Linked DNA regions of Caenorhabditis elegans. The protein of the gene in region 2 purifies or fractionates together with the protein of the main gene of each other region. This does not show direct contact. Each region holds a gene or a part of one and is shown on either strand. Other genes may lie near its edges. The genes, in order: ndk-1 and ksr-1.

Region 1 (3,578 bases), on a different chromosome or scaffold from region 2:
TTTCTGAGTCAGGGAAATGTTTTAATTTAATGAATTTGCCATCCTATCTGATAATTTATTTTCCAGGTAACAAGTTGTGTTCCTCTTTGCCATGAATCCACTCCACTCGCACCTCCTCTGGAACTTGCCACAGCCCTCGTCCATGGAAAGTTTGGTGCCTCCCTCGTCGGCGTCTATTTCTCAAATGCAACTCCATCGGACACTTCTCTCAACGTTTATGCCACTCGACTCGCCGACAGAATATCTTCTGTTACCTCTTCGGCAGCGATTCTCGTACAAGTGATGAACGAAAGACTGGTGTCAGATTGTGAACAAGACCGCCTCGTGGCATATGAAAAAGATGGAGATAGTTGGAAAGAAACGAAGTAGGAAAAAACATTTGATGTTATATATTCATTTAGTATATTCATTTCAGAACGATTTTCCAAGGTTCCAACTTCTTGCGTGGCCTTCAAGCTGTTATTCAGAAGAAGTTGTACCGAGAGCTTTCCGATTTCGAAAACCATTTGGACAATCCCGAGTTCGACTTCTATAACACAAATCTGAGCAACAAACTCGTGCAAGTGGCGGAATTCAGAGCTTAAAAGCTGAAATTATTATCCTAATTCGTGTTTTCATAACTTATTGCAGTCATCTGAATATATTATATGTTTAATCCCCTTCCGTTTTCGGGTTGAATAAAAGATTTGATGACAGCTGAGTCGTGTAGGATTGGTTGCCATGAAAACGCATTAGAGAATGCGCAGGAATAGATGTCAACAAAAACGATGTTTTAGGTGGGAAGCAATACTTTATCAACATTCAGCAGAGATACGAAAACGGTGAAAACACCGGGAGACATAAGCAATCAGTTTATTCGTAGACCCATGAGTTGATGAATGGGCTGGCGTAGTCGTTGATCTCCTCCTGCTTGAACCAGTGAGCAATCTCGCGGTTGGCAGAGTCAACGGCATCGGATCCGTGGCAGATATTGCGTCCGGTTTGGATGCAGAAGTCTCCGCGGATGGTTCCTGGGGCGGAAGCGAGTGGGTTGGTAGCTCCGAGCATGGAACGTCCTTGCTTGACGACGTCAAGTCCTTGCCAGACCATGGCGACGACTGGTCCAGAGCTCATGTACTCGATGAGGGATGGGAAGAATGGTTTGTCCTTGAGGTCTTGGTAGTGAACCTAAAAATAATAATTTAACTGGTTGGGCCTAAAATTTTGTAATTTCGTGAAAACGTACCTCAAGATGGGCCTTGGAGGCGGTCATCTGCTTGAGAGCAACAAGCTTGTATCCGCGCTCTTCAAAACGAGCGATGATCTTTCCGACGAGACCACTGAAATTTAAAAAATTAGGATTTTGAAAATCCTAAAATCCATTGAGGATGCTAGAATAAGTTTCTTCAAAGATAACTAACCGGTGGACTCCATCAGGCTTGATGGCGATGAAGGTTCTCTCAGTGTTGCTCATTTTCGGACAATCCAACTTGGAACAGGTGTCAACAGCACAGGCGACAGCGACGAACGCAAGTGAAAAGAATAACCCGCCGGCGCCCATTCAATCAACTCCGACACAAATGAAACGAGTGTAACCGTACTTCAGCACGTGGCGAGACCCGACCTCGCAGCATTCTTGGCTTTGTGCCAGAATTGCAATGGAGCGCCTTTACTGACCACTGTTTTCGACCAATTTTTTTGGACACCAATTGAACCTTTTGCGAGAATTATGTTCTGTCAAACTGGTTTTCTTCATATGAAATTTCATCGGGATTATTGAACAAAAATCGGAATTTAACGTCACCTGTAACGTCAAAACACATTGAGAAGTGAATCGCTGCATTTGATATCTGAAAAAACGCGTGTGACATAAATAGTTTATTACACTTTGTCTCAAGTTCTATGACTTATGTCTGCTTTTCGTGTCTCCATGCAACAAGCACAAACGCTCTGCATATTCCCATTAAACTATTGTGCCTCGTTACGCGTCGAACTTTATTTCATGCTTGATGACCTGGCTCCGCAAATTTCTTTTTTCGTTTCAGACACTACTTCACAAAACTATTTGCAGTACAAGGAAACCGGTTCTCCCATATTCGCCACCTTCGACGCCCTATGTTTAGAATCGACTAAATGTAAGGTTGTCTATACTCTTTCTTTTCTGCCATCGACTACCATTTAACTGTTTGCCTACCAAACCGTGAGCTTTGTTTGCAGAACAAAGTGAGAGCAAAACTGTATCGAAACGGGGAAAGTCTCTCGGAAAGAGAGCCTCTGTCTTATCATTTATCACCTGCTGATTCGCGAACGAAGCCGATGGAGAGCGAAGTGTGAGTTTTGTAGATATTTTAAATTACAGAAATTGTTTCAATGATAAATTCTAATATAATTTATCTCATTCCAGTGTCCTTCCCACGAATGGGGTGATGAAAAAATGGACAAACTACGTGAATGGATGGCAAGATCGATACTTTGAAATCACAGAGGGAAATCTTGTTTATTATCTGTCAAAAGCCGAAAAATCCCACGGATGCAGAGGAAGCATATTTCTCAAAAGTGCAATAATAGCTGTGAGCTTTTATTGATTTCTCAGAAAGTTCTTGTATATTTAAAAATTTAGGCCCACGAATTTGATGAAAACGAATTCTCAATATCTATGGGCGAAAACGTTGTCTGGTATTTGAAAGCAGAGAATTCACAGTCAAAACTTCTATGGATGCGATCAGTTGTCCGGGAAACAGTGAGTGTTTTCTGAATCTGAATTTGGTATTTTTAAAACATAATTTTTTCAAAAAATTACTTCCCCAGCGATTCTCTCGGAGTAATTACGAGATAAAAAGTTGTATATTCTTCGTTTAAATATGCTCCGATCATAGTTCAAACACCTCTCTTATGTTCCTTTTTACATCAAAAACACCATTGTTGATCTTTACCTGATTTTGTCATCCCGTGTAAATATATAGTACGGACGGTGGCACACAAAAGTCAATTGAAAGTTCGGGAATAGTACGAGGCTATAAAATATAAAAAATCGTTCACTTCGAAATTCTACTTTTAGAATCAGAGAAATCAAGTTAAAACTTCAATGGGAAAATCAATAATTTTCAGGTACAAAACGATTCGGATTATAGCTCGACTAGCACTAAAAGTCATTCCCGTAATCCATCGGTTTCCTCAGTTCTTGCTACTAATAATCAAAAATCTGATGATAATGAATCAACGAAGCTTTTTGCCACGAAACTCTCCGAACTCGAAGCATACCGAACTATGTGCAAGGATCAGATGACATCAATCGAAAGACTTCTGGAACAAGGTGGAGCCAGTTGTATTGTCCCACAAGCCACGATTCTATCAGTAAAAGCAACACATTTAGCATTGATTGTTAATATTAATCATATCGTGGATCTCGTCAAGACTTCTAAAGTAACAATTTGCTGATAGTTTGAGAATTAAATCAAATAATTTTCAGGTGGTAATACCAAACATTCCATCTTCTTCTTCATCCACTCCACCACCATTTCGGGAACCTTTATGTGCAACTAGAAGTGTTTCTTCTTCTGTTCTTCGTCGTGAATCTATTGTTGAACAAGAATACATGT
Region 2 (5,110 bases):
ACTAAAATCAATGAATAGTGATAGTTCAACAAAAAATGTTTGTTGTCCGCTGCGACGCGTATAAATTTGTAAACTTTAAATTTTTCTGCTAAATACAATCGGTTTTCATTTTAAACAGCATTTTTTGAGAAGTCTCTTTTTAAAACACAGTCTAAACATTTTGGTCCATTAGTCGTCTTTTAAAACGTAATTGCTATTACTTCAGTACTTATATTTTACCCTAATTTTTGGCTAACTTTACCATAGTTTTTGGCACGTTCAACAAACTACCCATAATTACTTTCAAAATTTTCATCGAGCAGGAACAACATTTTTAATGTTGACTTTGCCGAGATGTTACACTAAATTAGTTGTGATCTGCCAGCAAACCAGGAACTAAAAGCTTGTTCAATGCATTCCTGGTATGAATCTTGACCTACTCTTAAGTTGATTACGCAACATTTTGAACACCTGTTGTGGTCTTCTCATTGCGGACCATTTTCTCTCACCCCATAGACATACAGTCTCCTCTCTCTCTTATTCATACACTATTCCCCCCATCCTCCCGTCTTCCCGACATTTTTGCGTCCTTTCCTACTATTCCTACTGTCAATCCACACCGTTCTCCCCTTTTCTCTTCATCACGTTCAAACAGTTTGTTTGCTTGCACGCCGATCTTTCTTCCTCTTTCTCTTTCCACAACTCTCAGCATTCTAGCATTATTTTCTCCAATATATTGAACAGTATTTGAATGCAACGTTTCTTTTAACTTCCGACCAAAGCCTTATGGCAATTTTTTCTCACAACTACTCTTTTCGGTCGGCATTGCTTAATTTTTAAGCGCCATACTGTTGTTCGGTATTTCATGTGAAAGCGAAAAATTAAAAAAGAAAGAAAAGTTAAGCTTCCTAATTTTTGTATTTGTGGTAGTTTTAATACGCAAAGCTAGGAAAATGTAAAACTCAAATTGATAAACTATAATTACTTAGGAGTGATGATAAAGGATAATCGATTTTTTAAGTGAAATAGTTGAATATTTCTACTCAATAAAAAAACACATTTAATATTGGTAGAGTACAATTATTGGATTTGGAACAGTATTCTAATTAAAGAAACAAAAGAAGCCAAAATAAAAGTAGAATGCCATTGAAAAAAATCGGGACATTGTGATGTAATAAGTCTAATCTAACCACCGGAAAAGAAAATGTGGTCGAAAATACCAATTCTTCTTTTCTTCTCGTCACTTCTAAATTGAGTAATGTACATAACCTGTCTCATAATTGTTCGCCACGCAACCTTCACAATTTCGATGGCAGAAAGCCGCCGAAAGCTTTTAATTTACTTTCCGGACGATTTCGACTTTTCTAGAAGGTTAATACACACCTTTTTTGAGTAGATGATGTTGTAATAGTAAACAAACTGTAAGCATACTTATATTGGTCATCGCAATTTGACTTTGAATTGTAAACATCCAATTGTGATGGAATTTGTAGGAAGAAAATATTGTAGATTTTACTAACTCATGAATTGAAATTTCTGACTGTACTGTGGGGCATACACATATTTTCTCTAATTGTCTTGCTCCCTTACAGTACGAATGCAAACCATACTAACAGAAAAAACTCGGCACTTTTCAATATTACTTGCTCGTTTGCTTTTCTAGTCATTTAACGCCTTTCTAAAGCACCAAATACATTCGTATTGCCCTGCTCCCACTACCACACATACATAAACGAAGGATGAGCTCACAGGGAGCCATTTGATAATTGCGACGACACACACACATACACAAAATGAGAAACCAAGCAAAAAAGAGTGTGGCGCACGTGTGAGCTCACAGCGTGCTCCGTTTGCACCGGGGATTTCCAAAAGTTGACCAAAAACCAGCACTGTTTTTTCTTGGCAACCTTTTGAACGTTGTGCTCAACCAACGAAAGATTTATTTCAGGGAAAAGATCCGGAGAAGGTAAAAACTAACCAATAATATCAATACACAGAATGATGCAAACCCAAGTTGCATCACGTGCGGGATACAGTAATCTACCGCAGTTTGGTGCAGGAATCGCACAGGATATAAAGACACAGGCTATAAATAATTTGAAGGGTTAGTAAAAAAAATTTAAAAAAAAACAATTCGAAGTTGCAGAATGTTTGAAACTTACCACTATCAATCGATTTTTGACTTCATCATACGAAGAAGATGCAAAAAGTGTAGAAGTAAGTTTTTTTGAAAAAAAAACAACTTTTGTAAAAATTCAAACTTCTCCTATTCGTGAGCATCGTTGTTTTATAAACTGTAAATAAATGAATTCAAGACAGACTAGTCTTCATTCAGCAGAAAAAATTTTTAAGATGCTTTAAAGTTTTGTTCATAAAATACACTATACATATATTGACACCTCAGTCCAAATTGTTTTAGATCTTTGTGGTAAACCAATCTGTGGTACTAAACGTTTTTCTAGACGTTTTCCGTTTATACTGTAAAGTTTATTTGTATAATTAAATTCTATAATGGTATTTTGATAATAAATTTAAAAAATTAAAAATTTAGATGCACAACTTCGTGCATGAAACGCTAATCGTTATATTTGAAAAACTGAAACTTACTTTCAAACAAATGTTGATTTTCAAATGTTTTAAATTTAGTGAGTTTATGATATTTTGAATATGAAAAAATATCAAAATATCAAAGCTTTTAAAAAATAGATTTAAAAACTTTAAGTGAATGTAACTCTTTTTTTCTACGAATTTTAGTAATCAAGATATCAGAGACAGATGAAAAGGTGAAACAACCTGAAACAAATGGTCTGAAATCTTTCATTGACGTCAACTAAATTCCAATGATTCTCAATTTACAGCGCAAAATATTCTCGGCCGTTTATCAAATGACAAAAATTGGTTTGATTGATCGCGAGAAGCGTGAGATCAACGCCATTTGGTTCACATTTGTCGGGCTCAGCGCACAAAACATTCGGCACTTGGAGATTTGCTCGATCACCGATTTCAATGCTCTGTTCAGCATCACTAACCAAGAGGTTTGATCCTTCTCTTTTTTGCTCTACCTTTTCTCTCTTTTCTCACACATCATTTCCTGATTTTACACCTAACAGAAACATACAAACACTCACAAATCGGGTTCTAGGCATATCTATATCCTTCTAAATGTCTTTCTGCTGATTCGGGTCACAACCTTCAACATTATCGTTTTATTCTTAAACTTCTTTTCATTTCCCTCTACGCTTCCCATTGGTTTGGGGTGTTTGGGAGTGCGCTTTGACGCTCTTTCCCTCTCGTTTTTCCGTTTCTGTTTCCGTCTCTTCTTTCTTTCTTTTCACCTTCTACTTTCTGCATTTCTCTCCTTTCCTTTCCCACTCTTCTCTTTCTCTAGAGGCCAGAAAACTGCAGCTCTCTCCGTTTTTTTCCTGATTTTTGTGAGCTAATTTGTTATCCAAAAAAAGAAGAGTAAACAGAAAAAGAGGATTAGGTTAATTGTTACCTATTGATATTCTGCTCATTGTTGTTTTTTAAGACTCACGAACTTTCTCTCAGCTAGCACATGCATAAGTCATGTATCTGACTGATTTTTATCATCTCATTTCGTAATTGTTTGAATTTGAGTTTCGACTTTTCATTTAGTCATTTTGCAGCAGGAAGTGTTTTTCGAAATGAAATTTGTCTTACTTTTATCTGACAAATCAACTAGTTTGGTAATTTTTCAGATTTAAAAATTTCCTTTTTTTCATTGAAGATTTTTTTAAAACTTGATTTGTCAAATTTTTTAAGATAACTTTACCATTTAATTTACAACAACATTGAACAAATCAATTGTTAAATTTGAATTCGAAACAAAACTTGAAAACTTCAAGTGGCCTTTCATATGATAATTGGCCAAAATATTAGAGTTGATTTTGAATGAATGTTTTTTGTGAGAACAACTATGCTGAAGCATTTCTGGAACATTCATTGTTTTTAGCGATCCAAAGCATACACGTTTTTGTTTTTTTGCATTGCCTCCGTATACTCGGTAACGTCATTCGTGTTCCAACAACACCTGTTACATTTCTACGAGTTGTTTTCACTCTTGTCTGCATGTTATCAAACTTCTATTGCTCGTTTCATTACTTTTAACCGAGTTTCTCTGTGCTCCGCCTTCTGAACATTTGAACCCAAACATAAAAGTTTATTTCAGTTGCGATCGCTTGCGGATCGTGGTCGTCTTGATGTGGAGACCAAACGAAAGTTGCTTCAATCTACAGTGATTTTACAAAATCACTGGAACGGTAAGTGTGCGGCAATTTGAAAATTTGTATTAAGTAAAATGTAGAAGAAAATAATTCTTGCCACGAAAATTTTGCAACTGTTATTTTTTGAAAATGTTCTCAAAATTCCTTACTTTTCTAGTTATTTTCATAAAAATTTATAGTCTCAAAACCAGTAATTTGACATTTTTTAATCAAACTTTAAAATTTAACTTTAATCAATCCCGAGATGGTAACTGCAAAATTAAAAAAAAACAAGACGGTTTTTATTAAAACAATTTTGAAGCATATTTTATACTGAGTTTGCTCCACTTCTTGAAAATTTAAATCACTGTCAAATGTTCAAACCCCATACATTTTAAAATTTGAATATTTTGAATGTAATTGAAATAAAAAATGGAAAATTTTATGATGGAGGACTTCCGCAAAAACTGGTGACCATTTAGTATTGAGCTTTTTGATTTTAAATAAAAAAAACTTTCCAAAGTTTTTGGAATAATTTTATTATGGTATATTTGATTATTTTTGTACCATAGGAATGGTTTTGAAAAACTTCCCCCGCAGATCGGAGTCCGCCTTCAAACGTCGTTTTCGGTTTATTTGTTAATTTTAGAATTAATACTTTAAGCAGCCTGAGAATTAAAAAATCAACCTTATTCTTTTATTCAAATTAAAATTTTTAAAATGTAGTGTAATGATACACATTGAACCAGCAAATTTGACATAGAAATACCGCACATCTTTCAAATGTTCTCTATGGTTCATCTACTTCGAAAAAATGTTGTGAAAATAATTTGTTCTTAGAATGAAACCTTTTCACAAAATGTTTATGGAATTGTTTTATTTTATTTAAAACATGTACAATTAATACA

The links.
Region 1: the proteins of ksr-1 (region 2) and ndk-1 purify together in Caenorhabditis elegans (affinity purification with western blotting, with the first as the bait; one study listed by BioGRID). This does not show direct contact.

What each region holds. Positions count from the first base shown.
Region 1 is NC_003279.8:10,552,342-10,555,919, forward strand, and holds ndk-1 (Nucleoside diphosphate kinase), read right to left. Parts: upstream 1,573-3,578; 5' UTR 1,454-1,572; coding exon 1,401-1,453; intron 1,320-1,400; coding exon 1,226-1,319; intron 1,168-1,225; coding exon 853-1,167; 3' UTR 778-852; downstream 1-777. Other genes in the region: F25H2.4 (MPN domain-containing protein), read left to right, coding at 67-365, 416-584; cert-1 (Ceramide transfer protein), read left to right, coding at 2,296-2,309, 2,384-2,549, 2,600-2,719, 3,088-3,402, 3,449-3,578.
Region 2 is NC_003284.9:8,273,242-8,278,351, forward strand, and holds the start of ksr-1 (Kinase suppressor of Ras A), read left to right. Parts: upstream 1-1,927; 5' UTR 1,928-1,977; coding exon 1,978-2,083; intron 2,084-2,125; coding exon 2,126-2,196; intron 2,197-2,837; coding exon 2,838-3,014; intron 3,015-4,168; coding exon 4,169-4,259; intron 4,260-5,110. UniProt on the Caenorhabditis elegans protein: Serine/threonine-protein kinase which positively regulates Ras-mediated signaling probably acting at the level of let-60/ras or/and lin-45/raf. Involved in sex myoblast migration.